Drosophila melanogaster: one gene and its partners. The protein of the gene in region 1 purifies or fractionates together with the protein of each later gene. This does not show direct contact. Each region holds a gene or a part of one and is shown on either strand. Other genes may lie near its edges.

Evidence for each region. The genes of interacting proteins can lie anywhere in the genome.
Region 2: the proteins of hiro (region 1) and pps purify together in Drosophila melanogaster (affinity purification with mass spectrometry, with the first as the bait; one large-scale study listed by BioGRID). This does not show direct contact.
Region 3: the proteins of hiro (region 1) and tmod purify together in Drosophila melanogaster (affinity purification with mass spectrometry, with the first as the bait; one large-scale study listed by BioGRID). This does not show direct contact.

The regions. Positions count from the first base shown.
Region 1 is NT_037436.4:685,397-689,480, forward strand, and holds hiro (highroad), read right to left. Parts: upstream 2,563-4,084; 5' UTR 2,473-2,562; coding exon 2,406-2,472; intron 1,977-2,405; coding exon 1,185-1,976; intron 1,132-1,184; coding exon 946-1,131; intron 891-945; coding exon 595-890; 3' UTR 546-594; downstream 1-545. Other genes in the region: CG32483 (uncharacterized protein), read right to left, coding at 3,189-3,484, 3,539-3,724, 3,778-4,084.
Region 2 is NT_033777.3:12,412,306-12,419,880, reverse strand, and holds the start of pps (protein partner of snf), read right to left. Parts: upstream 6,054-7,575; 5' UTR 5,725-6,053; coding exon 5,595-5,724; intron 5,530-5,594; coding exon 5,125-5,529; intron 5,011-5,124; coding exon 3,293-5,010; intron 3,234-3,292; coding exon 2,752-3,233; intron 2,664-2,751; coding exon 2,489-2,663; intron 2,434-2,488; coding exon 1,906-2,433; intron 1,841-1,905; coding exon 1-1,840. Other genes in the region: Dip-C (dipeptidase C), read left to right, coding at 6,498-7,575.
Region 3 is NT_033777.3:30,531,156-30,535,889, reverse strand, and holds the start of tmod (tropomodulin), read right to left. Parts: upstream 3,054-4,734; 5' UTR 2,908-3,053; exon of another isoform or gene 2,795-2,907; 5' UTR 2,605-2,794; coding exon 2,383-2,604; intron 1-2,382.

The DNA of each region.
Region 1 (4,084 bases):
CTTTCAATGCGCTTTGGCTCTATTCGCTTTCGTTTTCTCTTCCTAGGCACTCGATTTGTCTTCTGATTGTGATTTTCCAACTGGCCGTGCGCTGCACCTTGCGTATTTTCCGATGTCCGTGCGAACTAGACGACGACCCATACAAAAATAGCTGCCGCGTTATCTCGCGCAGTTTTCATTCTCTGCTCGCTCCCTCTCTCGCTCTCGCATGCGCAACGTGGGCAACTAGAACGGAAGGGAAGTCGGCGTGTGCGAGAGTGTGTGTGCGTGTGACCAGCTGAGAGGGTGCAACTGCGCATGCGACAACTTTACTGTTACTTTCGCCATGTGGCAACTCTGCAGGCGATCGCTTTTTAAGTAGAGTAAGATTAATGAGAACATACATATGTATGTATGTATTTTGTTTTCAGTTTAAGAATGAATTGATTTCACAAGATCTGCAACTAACTGCACTGTAAAATATAACTATAAAGTCTTTGCGAATTGTAATCAATATTTAATTTAAATTAATCGAACCACCACCAATTGGAAACCCACGAGTCCATACATTTCGAAAATAATCTTTATTTTAACGCTTTTCTCCGGCTAATTTGTTTAACCGAATTTGGTGAAGTGTCGCAGGATGTGCGACATGGCCGCGGGATTATCGGCAGGAACCATGTGACCAGCCCGGTTGACCCAAAACATGCTGAAGTTGCCATAGGTCTTCTCGTAACCCTCGAGAACTCGATCTACGGTGATTCCCACGCGCGGAGAGACCTGGTAAGATGGCTTGGCGGACCATTCCATTGCTTCGATCCAGTTGACGGCTCCCGGAGTGGCGCAAATCAGGTCCAGTCCTCCGGAGAACACGCCCACTTTTACGGTGGTGTTGTTCAGCAGTTCACCCACTAAAAGTGTCATAAGGCTATAATTTGAGGTAGCACCCAGACGGTTGAAACATACCAACATCCACAGCTGGCTTCATGAAATCGCCCATCAGCTTGGTGAAGGTGGTGCCGCTCTGGGCGCCCCATTTCACTCCGGTGTTGATTCCGAGGGCCTCGGTCACGGGTCCAAGCATTAGATCCTCCAGCAATTTGTCGCGGTCCTCATCCACATCGAATTTCACGAGGGTGCGATACATGACCTCTGGATAAGTGGTTGATGAGAATCAGCTCGGTAAGTTACGCAACGGATCTTACCCTCCGGAGTCATGGCAGCTCTGGACATCAACCTGTACTGATCACCCAATGTTGGGGTCTCCACGTTATAGAAGTCCACTCCCTTGGACTCGCGCAGCACCACTGACTGGGTGGAGCTCCACTGCAAAGTGGCCTGTGTCCACTTCTCGCGGTCAACATAGTCCTTAGTCTTCAGGGCCGAAGCTTCAATCTTGTCATGGCCATCCTGATCCACGATTCCCAACTGCAGCAGGAAGGGAGCCCACGAGAGCACAGAGTCTATGGGTGAGGTCCAGGGATCTCCCAAGGCCACCGAAACAAAGTTGCTCTCGATCTCACCGCGCTTGATGGCGTAATCCAACTCCAAAGCGAACTCCGGGGCCATCTTTCCGCCATAACTCTCGCAGAAGATGTGCAGCGGCACAGTCTTGAATTCCGGGTGGTTTGTGTAGAAGCCCTTCATCAGCTCAACGAGATCCAGGGCGATCTGCTTGTTGTTGGTCGTGTAGTAAGAAGATCCGTCCACGTAGCTGAAACCACTGCCCACGGGATTGTCGATGAACATCACGTTCATGTCCTTCACCCAAGTCCAGTCGCGGTAGCTGCCGTCGAGCTTCAGGGGACCCAACTCCTCAAAGTTTCCGTATCCCGTTGAGGAGGCACCTGGACCTCCTTGGAGCCAAATGGCCAGCGGACGCTCCGTGTAACTGGAGACATTGGCGGTGGTGTAGTACAGCCAGTAGAACATGTGGGCGCCAGTCCTGACATCCACAAATCCCCAATCCTGATCACCGGGTCCATAGCCCTTGCGTGCTGAGAGTATATTGAATTATAGCTCATTTCGATTAAATAGTTATTAATATACAAAGCTCTTTGATTTTGTAATTTCATGATAGCCCCTGATTTCTAGGGAACACTTGAGAAATCTAGCCTTTAAGTATATTAAACGGCTGCACGAGTAGCCATTTAGATAAGATTAATTGTTATAGATAGTGTAGATAGTTGATTGTATTGTCTTATAACAAACCGAATAGCGGTTGGTCACTGTATCTTTTACAATGGTAATAAGGTCTGTCCCCAAACGATTCATAAGTATTTCAATCTACGGATATAAAAGTAGGTAAAAAAGTCTGTAACAGATAATTCTGTTGGCCTGTTCTACAAGTCGTAAAGAACCGTTTGTTTTGGAACACTTTCTCACTGATTAGCACCCCTAATTGGAATACAAATCACGATTCTCACCGTCAACGGAAGCCAAGCCGGCAAATCCCAGTAGGGCCAAAAGTGCGATGATAGCGCGTCCAGCCATGTTGCACCAGTGTTTCAGTTCCAATTCCAAGAGACACCGATCGAGAGACAACCGCACACTTGGCAGTTCCACTGCCAATTGATCGCTGGTTGCTCCCAGACATCGAAGGTAAAATAGCAACAGCCAGCACCTGACACACCTGGAATTCGTAATCTGCGGGCAGGGGAACTGTGTTTGCAGAGTATTTATGGCCCTTCGCTGGACGGTGACGCGGCTTTTTGGTCAATCTGTGCTTGTCACTCGTCCGATTTGCCGAATCTTTGTGTCATATATTTAGATAGAGCCTATGAAGCTCCAAAATCATCGCAAAGATTGCACTTTGCTATCTTGAGTGGGTTTTCCGAGGGCTTTTCCTATTATTTTTCGGTATCACTTGCGGTTTATCCCACGTGACATGCGTGAAAGATATCTAAGGTGTCTCCCAAAAACTCTTTTTAAATCATCAGCATTCTTTGATTGATTGACTATATTATTTTTAGGTGTTCATATAATCATATATGCATCAATTCTGGGCATTGCTTTTTAAAGAGCAGATTAAGACATACATTTGACATTTATCAAAATAACTAATAGGATAACTTCCCCAGCTTCTATAAGCAAAAAATCCATTACGATTTACATTATATACTTTCAGTAAAACACTCCTCTATTTTTAGACGAATATAGTATACAACTGGCTTGCATACTGAGTTTATTATAATTCAATTTAAATGAATTTAGCCAAATGAGGTAAACTCTCGAAGTACATGACTCATAGCCGCAGGGTTGTCCGCCGGAGCCATGTGACCACTTCGGTTGATCCAGAACATGGTAAAGTTACCGCCCGTCTTTTGATAGCCCTCCAAGATGCGATCCACCGTGATGCCATTGCGTGGAGCAGCCAGGTACTCGTCCTTTCGGCTCCAGTCCAGCTTGGCTATCCAGTTGACGGTGCCCGGTGTGGCGCAAATCAAATCCAGGCCACCGGAGAATACGCCGACCTTCAGAGGAGTCTTCTCCAGCAATTCGTTCACTGTCATTCAATGGATGTCAGACGCTTTCGTTATATAAGAAGTAATATCCCTACCAATGTGGATGACTGGCTTCATGAAGTCCGTTCTGTGGATGTCAAAAGTGGTCCCACTCTGCGATCCCCAGATGACATTCGAAGGTATACCCAGGGTTTCCGCCACCGGGCCCCGCATCAGATCCTCCAGTAACTTGGTTCGATCCTCATCAATATCGTATTTCACCATGGTGCGATACAGACGTTCTGCAGGGAAATATCATGGTTTGAAAAATATCGTATCGAAGTATTTGGTTCACCTTCGGAGGTCAAGGCCTTTGATCTCTGGTAGAGACCACCCTTTGTCTCCTTCAGCACGTTGTAGAAGTCCACACCCTTGGAGGCTTTCATCACCTCCCACTGGGTGTTGCCCCACTGATAGGTGGCCTGAATCCATCGCTCCTCCTCCACCAACTGAGCCGTGAAGTTCGCTGCCTCTTGAATGGCATTGTATCCCGCGTGGTCCACGATTCCCATTTCTCTGAGAAAAGGTCCCCATGCGAGCACGGAGTCGATGGGCGAGGTCCATGGATCCCCCAAAGCCACCGAGGTAAGGTTGCTCTTGAC
Region 2 (7,575 bases), on another chromosome or scaffold:
CGAGCAGCGTGTTGGGTCTTTGCGCTTCTTCGTAGAAGGGAACTGGCTCCGCGGTCTGCAGCGCTGGTGGCAACTTATCGCCGCTACCCAAGGGGAATATGTAAAAGTCGCGTATCTGATCCGAGTCCACGCCCAGGACGCCCAGACGCTGACGCGAGTCCAGGTATTCGAAGAAGAGATCAAACTTATACGTTTCGCTGGGCGAGGCGGGGAATATGTTCACAATGACCACTTCCTTTGTGGGACTCTTCTTTAGCTTCTTGATATATTCCCAGACATTAACGCGGGTTATGCGACCGATTACGTCCATCTGACTTGGCATCAGGTTACCCAATTGATGGCAGTTACCCTGCACGGGGTACATGACGATTTCGAAGTCGGCCAAATCGATCATCTTGAGAGTACCGGACCACAGTGAACTCGTCGTCAGGCCGTGCAAGTAGCGGGAGTAGTTGTCCATTGGCTCAGGTGCCTTCAAAGAACTCGGAAGCGTTGGAAGTGGCTTGGGTGACGGCTTTGGTTTGCCTAGATTCGCCGCCTGCTCGACTGTTTTCTCCGATTCCAGAATTTGATCAACCAAGTTGTAAGCACTCGCCTCGGTTTTCTTTTCCGCCGTCTTTTTGGGTACCGGCGATTGGTCGTTTTCGTCCCTCTTCTTGGGCAAGGGTGATGGAACGATCTCATCCCTTTCCCGGCTCTGTTTCTCACGCGATCTATGCTCACGCTCCCCGCTGCCTGGCTGCTCTCCTCCTTCGTTGTGCTGCCTGCGATGGCGCTTATCGACGCTTCGACCCCGACTATTGGAACGACTTCGACTGCGCTTTCGATGATGATGCTTGTGGCTCTTGTGTCGCTTTTCCTTCGATGAACCCGCCTTTTCCCTGGACGTGGAACGTTCCAGTGTGGAGGTAGACGGCTCACTGACCAGCGACGTCTGTTTTGTGTCCGCCATAGATGATGCTTCACTAACGTTCTCTTCGGGCAGCGTAACATCCACTTTGGTGGCGATTACCTCCTCTCCCTTGTGTGTTTTCACCACATAGTTTTGGGCACATGCCAACAAGTCCAGCTCCGATTTCTTGATCATATCCAACTGGTGACGGTTTTCCTCCTCCCGCCACTTGGCCAACTCTTGGCTGGCCAGCTGTTCCGGCGTCATCCGCACCAACTGCCTGGGCTCCACTTGCTTGGCACAAATCTTTTCGAAAAGCGTTCGGTTCTTGCGATCCTTTATGTTGAACATAAGCGATCGATACTTGGCCTTGTACTTGGCTCCCACGTCTCGGCCAAACGAGTTGAACATTTCCAGCTCCACGTTCTTGACAAACTGATCCACCTCAAGTACGGTCGGCCACTGAGTCGTTGGCTGGCCAGAGTTCTCCTCGGCAGCCTGAGCTTCTTTGATTCGCGCTAGTAGTTGCTCCCTGAGTGATCGCCGGATGCCGATTCGAACCGGCTCGGGTTTGCCCGCTGCGATACGATTAGGGGTTGGCGCCTGTACTGTAGGTGTTGTCTTCTCTTTATCCTTTTTGGCCAAAGGACGCACGGAAGAGATTCCAAGTTGGTGGCTTGCCTGAACTGTGGTGTTTTGGGGATGGGACAATTTGGCAGGACCTTCAGGTGGCTTTTTTGCAACTCCTAGCACGGCGGGTTCTGAAGTTGAGGTGGCGGCTTCCGGTGCCCCTTTCAGCAAACGCTTCTCTGCGTCGGCTGACTGAACGGTTCCTGAGGGCAGCACCTCGAAGGAGGGATTCTCCTGAAGCCATTTCCGAAACTGATGTGCAGAAGGGGCCATGTGCCCGGTGATAACCCGACCACTTTTACGCTCAAACACATTAATCTGCAAAGCAAAGTGTGCACATTATTTGTTGTATAGTTCTAATTAAATTAACCTTTATTGCATACCCGTTCCACTTTTGACACAGTGTCCGCTTGCCTCAGCACGTCCTCAAACAAGTCCTTCTTCTTGTTCTTTTTGGCATCGAAGGAGTTGTTCAGCAAAGACTGAGCACCGGCATTCTGTGGCAATGGGCCTTTGGTAGCAGCATGTGCTTGAATTGCACTTTGGGCATACTTCCGGATGCACTCTTCGCCACAATAGACGGAAGAGGTGCTCGCCGGTCGCTTGCAGACCACACATAACGTCTCCGAAATTCGTTTGCCAGGTGATGGGCCCAGTCTGATAAAGTTCAGCTGCTGCTGCTGCTGGTGAGAGATTGCACCGGTTGGGAACTTTTTGGCCGGCTTTGCCATTGGAATACGCATGGGGGAACTGGCTACAGTTAAGACCACCGGTAGTGTTCTTCTGGGAGCCGAAGGAGCCGCGACCTGAACAATTTCTGCTGTCGTAGTTAGTACTTTGGTTTCACTCGGCCTCTGCTCAGGTTGAGTGGTTGGTCTGGTGACCAACATGTCTGTTATTCGTGGTTGGCTCTACAAAGATAACGAATCAATAAAAGGTAACTTTATGTCTATTGTATGACTTTACCCTCTCCTCCTGCCTTTTAACGCATTTGGGGCACTTCCAGTCGATGCCCTTGTTTTCCATATCTGTGCCCATCGCCTTGGTCACCCCCACGCATGTGCCGTGGAACCAATCCTCGCACAAATCGCAGCAGATCATGAAACGATTGTTGTGTGGCTGACGACAAATGCACCAGAGCCTAAACCAAAAAAAAAAAAAAAAAAACAAAAAAGGTTTTCAACAAACGCACAGATTTGCATCTATGAAATATCCAACTATAATCTTACTTGTTGGGGTCATCGTCATCCTCCTGAGACTCTGAAGCGTCGGGATCATTGTTCTGACTTGCATCAAGCTTCTTTGATCTTCTGGGTGCCGTTGAACGTCTGGCCATCGATGGCTCTCTAGGATTGGGTCGTTTCGGCCCACTTCCCGGCTGGCTGTCATTGCTCAGGCTGCTGGTATTGAGCGGCTGATTGATGCTCGCATCCAACGAAGATTCACCAAACGACAGGTTGCCTGCATCACTGGAACTGGTCGCAGCCATGCCCGGAGCTGAAGGAAACTGTGCTCGTCGCTTGGCCCGCGTGGTGGGGGCTTCAATGGGAGGCAGGTATATGACCCGACCGTAGCCGCGCACAACCTTCGCGGAGGTGGGCGGAGTGCTTGCTGCCACGCTCCTCGAGGGTGTACTGCAGGCAATCGGCAATGAGGTCATCGATTGTGCGGGCTCCGTAAGACTTGCATTCGGCAGTAGGTTCGTGTGTGCCTGTAAAGGAGCAATGCAGTTAGCTAGCAAAATCAATAACCAGGATATTCTACACTTGCCTGTACTTGCGGCACGTCTACGGGCTCAATGGACGTAGGCATAGATACGATGGCGTCCAGGGTTCCGGGCTCTGTACTAGCCAATACTTGCTTAACCACCTCGGCCTCAAACTGTTTGTCCTCCTCGATGAGACCGACCACGTGCTGGAGAAAATCAGCTGTAATCTCATCCTCATTCGCCGTATCCATTATATTATTCGGATCGGCTGCAGCTGCATTTCCCACTCCCTGCATCTCGGGAGCTGGAAAAATATTCGTAGGCAAGGACACTGGTGGCGGATCTAGATCCGCCGCTGTACTCTCCAGCATCTTAACCAGTTTCGGTATATCCTCGTCCGCATTTACTACCGGCTGCTCCACAAGCGTGGACTTAAGTAGCTCGTCCTGCACAATCGAGTTGATCAGATCGAGCTGCTTGTCATTTTCTGCTGCCAGCTCGGAGGAACTCTGGTGCGTCTCGATTACTATTTGGGCGGGCAGTTTATGCGACTGAGCTGTGTCCACGCCGATGGGCATGAAGCCCTTGGATGGGGTATGTGCCTGAGCAGGAACCGGAACCACAATTGGCGACATCTGCTGATTGTAGCTCGATCTCGGCGTGCTTGGCGACATGACGGCCCGGTGTCGGAGTGGAACTGGCGAAGATTTTGTGGCTGCATTGTTGTCCTCACCCAGCAAAGTGTTGAGATTGGTAAACACTCCTTTGGGACTGGCCATATTCTTGTTGATAATAATCTCTTTAACTTCCTGCGGCGAGTTTACGATCCTTCCCAATTGCACGGCAGGCATACGACGAACATTGGAATTGGCCGGTGTCGTTGGCAGTGGAGGTCTCTTCACAGGCAGCGATTGATGTGTGGGCCGGATTTTGAGAAACGATGTGCTTGGAAGACCTCTGCCTAGGGCAAACACTGCGGGCACTGATTTTGTGGCAGGCATCTGGATTATTTGCCCAATTTGCGGCGCCTTCGGCTCCAAAACTTCCTTGCGTTTCTTCAGCTCGGGGAAGTGCTGCGGCGTTGTGGGTGGCGGAGGCAGCGGCTTCATTGGTTTGCTGGGAGTCTGCCTAACCACCTTTCTAACCCGCTTCCTCTTATTCGGATTACGTCTATTGCTATGCCTCATATCGAAGTCCATGTCACTGTCCCTGTCGTTGTCCGATTCCTGGAACTCATCGCTCTCCTCACTCATTTCCTCCGAATCATAGGCCTTGTCGGCATTTTCCTCTTCGGCGGAATCCGAGCTTTGGGCGTCATCATCATCTTCGATGTATTCCTGCACAGGCGGAGCAATCACTTTGACTGGAGCACGAGTGGGCCTCAGCCTGGCATTGACCGAATTGTTCGCGATAATCTCTGGCTTCTGTCTTGGCAGTGGCGAATGGATGGGCTTGCGGATCAGCTGCACTTTCGGTTGCAGCTGCGCTGCCTGCTGAACTTGGTGGGGCTTGACTGGCAGTCTCTGGACCTTGACCTGCACCGGGCTTAAGGGTATGGCCTGGACTCGTTTTTTGGCATTGATTAGCTTGACACTGCCCGGTGCCTGCATTATGATTTTGCGGCTTTGGGCCTGCATTTCCATGGCCATCTTCTCATCGCGCTTGTGGTTCTTCAGCTGCTCTGGCGAGGTAAACGGTGTGTAGTTGTGGTCATTTCGAATAACTTCCATAAGAGCGTCTGTCTCCGCAGTCCTTTTGTAGACGGAAACTCCGGCAAGCTCTGTAAATAGAATACAAATTAGTTGAAAGCTAAAGTTCGTTTACTTTCGTTGTGCTCGAAATAATGATGTTGTTTTGCTTTATCATTTGGACCACATCGATGTACGTTATTTACTCAGTGCATTTTTCACAACCATATCAGCCGTGTTGTCCGCATAAAACTGCTCCACTCGCAAACCCACAATTTGTGGACGCTCCTTGGGTTTGCGTCGCTTTCGCTTTTTGATGGCCTTGGGCTTTCGGCCAACTCGCTTGCGTGTGCGCGGGGCATCGGCTTCCGTCTCCGTGGAGTCGCTATTGTTGTCGTCACCGGTGTTATGGTTCTCCTCGTCGTGTTCATCCATCTCACTGGCATTATCGCCACCACTTTGGCTGCCATTGTCACTGTCCAGCTCCGAGTCGGTGGCAGTTTCCATAAAGTTCGCCAGCTCCTCCAGCCGTTCGTCTTCCTCTTGGTCCACCATGCTCGGCGTGGGCGATGTAATCCGCACCACGCTAATGGTGGAAATCGATTTTTCCTCTGCAACAAGCCCATGTCAGTGTGGGGAGCAATGAGCGTGTGTCAGGCCTATTGGACCCACTTACCCATGATGTTCCCAATCGCACGCTCGTCGAAGGAGATTCCGCTCTTGCTGTAGACCACAACCAGATTGGAGTCGGCTTCGGCTGCCGCCGGCCGGGCGCTGGGCGCCTCCGTAAACACCGAACTGGACATGACGCCAACTGCTCGTGATCCCCGCTAGCGGCGCATTGGAGTCGGCGGCCCACACAGCGTGTACTTAATTAGCTTGGAACAGAACAACGACTCATTTGTTGTTGCATCCGCCGCGTTGTGACGCCGACATTGAAATTGGATAGTAGGTGGAAAACGGTCACTGGGCTGCGTTCGCCCTATACTTAATACTGGTGATGCTCTGCTGGCTGCGCCCACAAGCTGGCTGTTATATTGTTGAGATTCGAGAGCTTAATCCGTTGCTGTTTCGCTTTAAAATGCAAATTTTTCTCAATTATGAAAATAAAATTTGCAAAAAAAGCCACTTCCAGTGTGACCAGACTTGGGAATGATGCCGATGCTGTAGGTTATCGATAGTTTCTGTGCCTCGCTCTGCGGAACTAGTTTCAATTGCTAGCTCATTTGAACAAAATGTTAATCTGTGTTTATTTAGGGAAATCCTTTATTTTCAAGGTCGGCTGCCAAAAAGGAAAACCGTATGATAAATAAATGAATTGAGCTAATTAAAAATATTAAAGAATATATTTAAAAAAATAAAATTCCCGATCGATGAATTGTAATTTAAGCTTGTTTTTTTTCGCGTTCAGTTCTCGGTCATACTTTTGCGAAAACAGAAAACAAAAAACACTGATAAAACCCACATAATTTACTGCCTTTGTTAGCCCGGTTATTGGCTATTATCAGCTAATCTCACTTGCTCGAGCACTCATTGTTGTCCAGAGCGCCAGTTAAACTTTGTCCTCCGTCGCAACACCATGGCCGCCTTTCAGATGGGATCGGGTTACGCAGTGCCCATGACCCTCTTCCGGAACAACAGGGATCGTGCTGGCAAGGCCATCCTTAAGGAGCTGCTGCCGGGCCTCAAGTTCAACGACGGCAACCTGCTGGTGCTCCTCGAGGGCGGCAAGGACCAGAGCCTGTACAACACCGACGTGGACTACGTTTTCCGGCAGGAGTCCTATTTCCAGTACTTGTTCGGTGTCAAGGAGCCGGGCTGCTACGGCATCCTAACCATTGATGTGAAAACTGGTGCACAGAAAAGTGTTCTCTTTGTTCCTCGCTTTCCCGATGAGTACGGCACCTGGATGGGCGAACTGCTTGGGCTGCAGGAGTTCAAGGCCATGTACGAGGTGGACGAGGTGTTTTATGTTGACGAAATGAGTGTTTATCTGGAGGGGGCGTCGCCCAAGCTGATACTCACATTGAGTGGCACCAACAGCGATAGCGGGCTCACCCTTCAGCCGCCCGACTTTGCTGGCAAGGAGAAGTATGTGACTGACTGCAATCTGCTGTATCCAATTCTCTCTGAGTGCCGAGTGATCAAGTCACCCGAAGAGATCGAGGTGCTGCGCTACGTGGCCAAGGTATCCTCGGACGCGCACATCAAGGTGATGCGGTTTATGCGTCCCGGTAGAATGGAATTTGAGGGCGAATCCCTGTTCCTGCACCACGCCTACTCCGTGGGCGGCTGCCGGCATGCCTCCTACACCTGCATATGCGGCAGCGGAACGAACTCGTCGATCTTGCACTATGGACACGCGGGCGCACCCAACAGCAAGCCCGTCCAGGATGGTGATCTCTGCCTGTTCGATATGGGAGCCAACTATTGTGGCTATGCGGCCGACATAACCTGCACATTCCCGGCCAATGGAAAGTTCACCGACGACCAGAAGTTCATCTACAATGCCGTGCTGGATGCCCGCAATGCGGTCACAGAGTCAGCCCGTGACGGAGTCTCCTGGGTGGACATGCACAAGCTGGCGGGCAGGGTGTTGCTGCAGCGCCTGAAGGAGGGCGGCATGCTCAAGGGCGATGTGGAGGAGATGCTCGAGG
Region 3 (4,734 bases), on another chromosome or scaffold:
TTTGCTTAACTACATTCCAGTCGGCAGGAATAATATGGCCGAACTTTCCGACCGCAAAGTCGCTCGTTTGGGTGTTTATTAAATAGTGGTGCATTTCCATAATGTTTGCATTAAATGGCGCATAATCAGATAATTTAATAATCGCAAATTGGGCGTATTTGATGTTGAATTTTCAGTGACAATAGATTGAGAGTTCGATTTTGTTGAAACTAATCAATCATGAATATTCTATGAATATTTTATTCAATTTAGTCATTCTCTTTAATATTTATTGTTTAGTTTATAAGCAAATACACAGAGGCTTGAACCATACCCCGCACCGCACAAATTACCGTCGTTTAATGAGCTAATCAAATCAGGAAACAACGGTGAAATCAACTGTGAAATTTATGACAGTTTTCCGCTTCGCCTCGAATTAAGGATAACGAAAGGCAGTGGGGATGGGGAGTGGAGAAAGTGCCCGGCGTATCTCCGACTTTATTTAACTAATTTTGCATTTTCAACTCAAACTCGACTTTGGTCACGTATCCCTGCGGCTGGAACTTTGACCTGTTAAGCGCATAAAAATGACAAAAACGGTACGTGACTCATTAGCCGCTTTCGCCCAGGAAATGCCGCCGGGAGAAAGTGAGCGGGGAAAGCTGGCTTGGGCAGTTCAGCAGTTCAGCAGTTCATGAGCTTCGGCAAGGAAACCGGACTTTGGCAGCGCAATTAGTTCGGCAAGCTGCTCGGAGCGAGGCACATACGATCCTGTTTTGTGTATATGGCAACATATGCCCTGGCAGCAGCACATCCTTATCCCTGCCCCATTCGCAGGACTCCGGCTGGCTGAGCTCATGCGTTTTCATTTCCATTTCGGGCCCATAAAAACGGCAAAACGGAAAAACGAGAAAAGGCCGAGAGGCCGACCCAAAAAGAAGTAAATTGCAATGCAAATTTAATTTGGCTGCCATAAAACTCGACGAAAGAAAAACGGGCGGTGTTTTGCTTTTCGCCCGGCGAGGGGCGAGGGGGGCCAGACAGTCGTAAAACAGCGGCGGGAAAATCGAAGACTTTCTGCGGGGTTTGGGGTGGGGTAGCGGTAGTGGGGAATACGGGTGGAAGTGCGTGGCCGCCGCGCCAAGCCGGAAATGCAATTTGTAATTTTGTGCAACGATTTGTGGCAATTAATTGCTGCCCCACCACTTGCACCACCCGCCCCATGCGGCACCACCCAACTTTCGCCCAGTGCGCGCCAGACCGCAAGACACGGAAACCTCAATATTTATTTTTTGTTTCGCCTTCTTCTCGATGTTTTTTTTGTTTTTTTTTTTTTTTGGTCTGATACTTGTTTTTTTGCCTCTGCATTTGTTGGCGGCACAGAATTTATTGCATTTAATTTTTTTGCCATTTCTCTTCGAGTGTGGGGATTTTTTGGCATAGCTCGGCATCGAGTATTTAAGTGATTTCTGCTTAATAATAATTTAATTCCCAGCTTTTTTTATACGCCATGCCATTTGAAATCTTTTGTGATAATTTGCGCCGAAATCAAACAGCTGCAAAATTTGTATTTTTTGTTGGCTTTCCCCCGGCAACGTCGCCTATAGAAAGTGTGGCCGAACATATACATACATATGTATATGTGTATATAATCGCCTATATGTCCGTCTATATCTGTGCCGCGGTGTGTGTGATGTATAATGTATGGGAAGATTTATAATATTCGTGGGACCGTATAAACAATTCGCTAAGACGCACATAGAGAAATGGCACTTGGTATAAATAATGTATAGCCAGAGTTCGCCATGTTTTGGCCAATTTCACAAGCGAGGAGACCAGTACGGCAGAAGATCCCTTCAGAATATGAGAATAATGATTTATAGTCTTTCATAAGCCAAACGATCGGGGGTGGCCAACTATTGAGGAAATCATTCAGTTTTGGGCGGATTCTTTGGTTTAAACTTGTAGTTCCGTAAGAATATTTTCGGAAATATGTAAAATGGAATGTCATTTACTTTCGCAAAAATATGCGATGTTTTTATATAAATTCAATGCAAAAACAAGATGTTGTTTTGCGGCATATATCCCCCCACCAAAAGCTTGGTAAACAATACTTGAATCGAAAATATTTTTATAAAAATTTCCATGCTTAATAAATTTTAACGAACTGTTCTTTAAGTTGATTGCGAATATGCACTTAACATTAAAGCTTTTGGAAATAGTTTCCATTAAGAATTTCCCAAGTTCCCGAATTTTTATAGCTTCTTGAACGGTTTTCAAATTCAGAATACATATTGATTTTCATGGCTATTCGAATTATGTTTGTACTCAGCACACGCACAATAAGTTAGTTAATGGATAATGGCGGCTATTAGATGGATCCATGGGTCAGAGTTCACTCACCTCAGTGATCTTCATGGTGCGCTTCACCGTTTTGCGGGTAACTTCGGTGGTTTCCTCCACGACATCGCCATCCTCATCGATGGTCTCCGTTACCATTTTCTCGGTCTCGCCGGGAATCACCTCCTCGGTGTGCTCGGTGACCACGCTGGTTTTGCTCTGGGCATCGGGTTCGGGCTTGGTCTCCTCGGCGGAGCCACCGAAAACATCCTCAATGTCCGACATTGTCTCTGATTTATATCCTTTTCGATTGGAGTCGAGCTGATTCACTTGGCTTTCTCTCACGTTCTTGTGTTCACTTTCACTTGATCACTGGATCACTGATCACAACGATAACACATAACACGCAGAATTGCTTGGGTTTTCTTCTTTCTTATTTTCTTTCTTTTAGCCTGAAAAATACAAACGACCAGAGCTAGAAAAATGAATATTTTTTGTATATTCCGCTGGGCTTTTGGCAGCCGCTGGTTATTATATAAACAAGAGGAATTTCACGGCGCGCTGGTTTTTTAGTAACTTGTTTTCGACCTAAGGGCGGTATATTTAGAGGTACTGTAGATCCTTCGTGGTTTACGCAGATGCCTGGAGCCTTCGATCCTCTCGGGAAGTGCTCGATTATCGAACTGTAAAAACGTAACGTCGACCAGCGGCCACGAAAGGCGCGACAACAACGGAGAACGGAGAATTACGGAACAATGGGACTACGGAAGAACGGAACAATGGGACAACGGAATAACGTAGAGCCGTGGTGACAAAAGGCGGATAAAGCGAAACAAGTTGAAAGATGGAGCTATCGAAATCCCATCACATCACTTCAGCCTGTTTCGAAAACAAATCCGGAATAATTACGGAACAACGGAACGCACACGAGGCGAATTACACGATCACGGGTCTTCTACTTGCTGCCTCCGTCCTAGCTTCTTCTAATTCTTCTAGTTAGAATCTTCTGCCGTCTGCCACCGGAACCGACGCCGGAGAGCAGAGCGAGACGGTCTGAGTTCCGGAGGGTCTAGTGGGGCAGAGGCCCCCAATGTGTTAGCCGCAGGTGCGAGCGGGACGGCCCGAGACCCCCAGCGCTCGGGAGAGCGCCAGCAATTCTCCACACTCTCTCCTCCACTCTCACTCTCAGTTCTCTGCCGATCTGCTGCCGCTGCTGACGTCTGCTCAATTTTGAACGTTGATCTTCGTCGCGTTTCAAAAGTTTTTTGTTGCCTTCGTTCCGATCTTTTCTACACTGTGTGCCTCTACACTGAGAGAAAATCCTACCAAATTGGATTTACATTTAGAAAGCTTTATTTGGTAAAAAGAGGAAACTATCTGACAATATTTCGTATGTTAAAAAGTAAAAGTACAAGGCTGTGATCCCACATGTATCCTAATCCTTCCGAAATTGAACTCCAGAGTTCTATAAAATATCAAAATATCTGCAATGAAGTAAGAAGTGAGTTAACCATTTTTCTGAGTGCAGTATTTCTGTTCTTTCTTTGAGCAAATGTGAAATTTGAATGCGAATGAGTTCGCTCGCTAATTGTCCGCCTGTTGCAATTTCTTCGTTTGACCAGGCGAATGCAATTAGTGCGGCTGCCGGACGTCTGAGGCCCGTCAGAATGTGAAACTCCGCCGTGAAGTGCCAACACTCCTCATTCGCCATCTCATATGGTCTGTACTCCCCTTACTCCGCATACCCCCTACTCTCCATACTCCCCGTCAAAGACCCACGCACTCTTCTCGTCAATGTGCGTGGAGCTATTTTGGGTGGATTTAACAATAGACAGAAAAAAGAGGCAGCCAAGGATGAAGATAGTGATATCTTCCGACTTTGGAATACCTAAAAAAGAGATTTTGATAGTAAGAATAGAGTTTTACAATAAGAATTATAGAATGTTTATTCAAGAAGTAAAAATATCTTATAAACTTGAATTTAGATAGATTTTAAAATTAATTTACAAACCAATTTGTCCACTCTATCAGAGGGACTTACTATCCCCATAAGCCCGTGTTGCATTTCCCTTTTTCCAACATTTTTTTTCCAATAAGCCCAGACATCTCATCGATACCCTCTGTGGGCAAACAACTCTGAATCGGGTGGAATACATTGGGCTGATCCGGCTGGCCATTTGGCCGGGCGGCATTTGACGCCGTCTTTTCCTTTTTCATGCGCTTTTCTTTTTTTTTCCTTTATTTTCCGTTCGTTTTTTTCCCTTTTTCCTTTGCCGTGGCCAGCGTTCGATGTGCGAGTGGAGGCAGTGCATCACAGCCAGCGGGGCCTGTACAGGGTGCCTTGTGGCAGGGGCATCTGTCGGAAGATGCCCATCTCAAGTGATTTCACCTTCTGCCTTCTGTCCGATTTCTGAT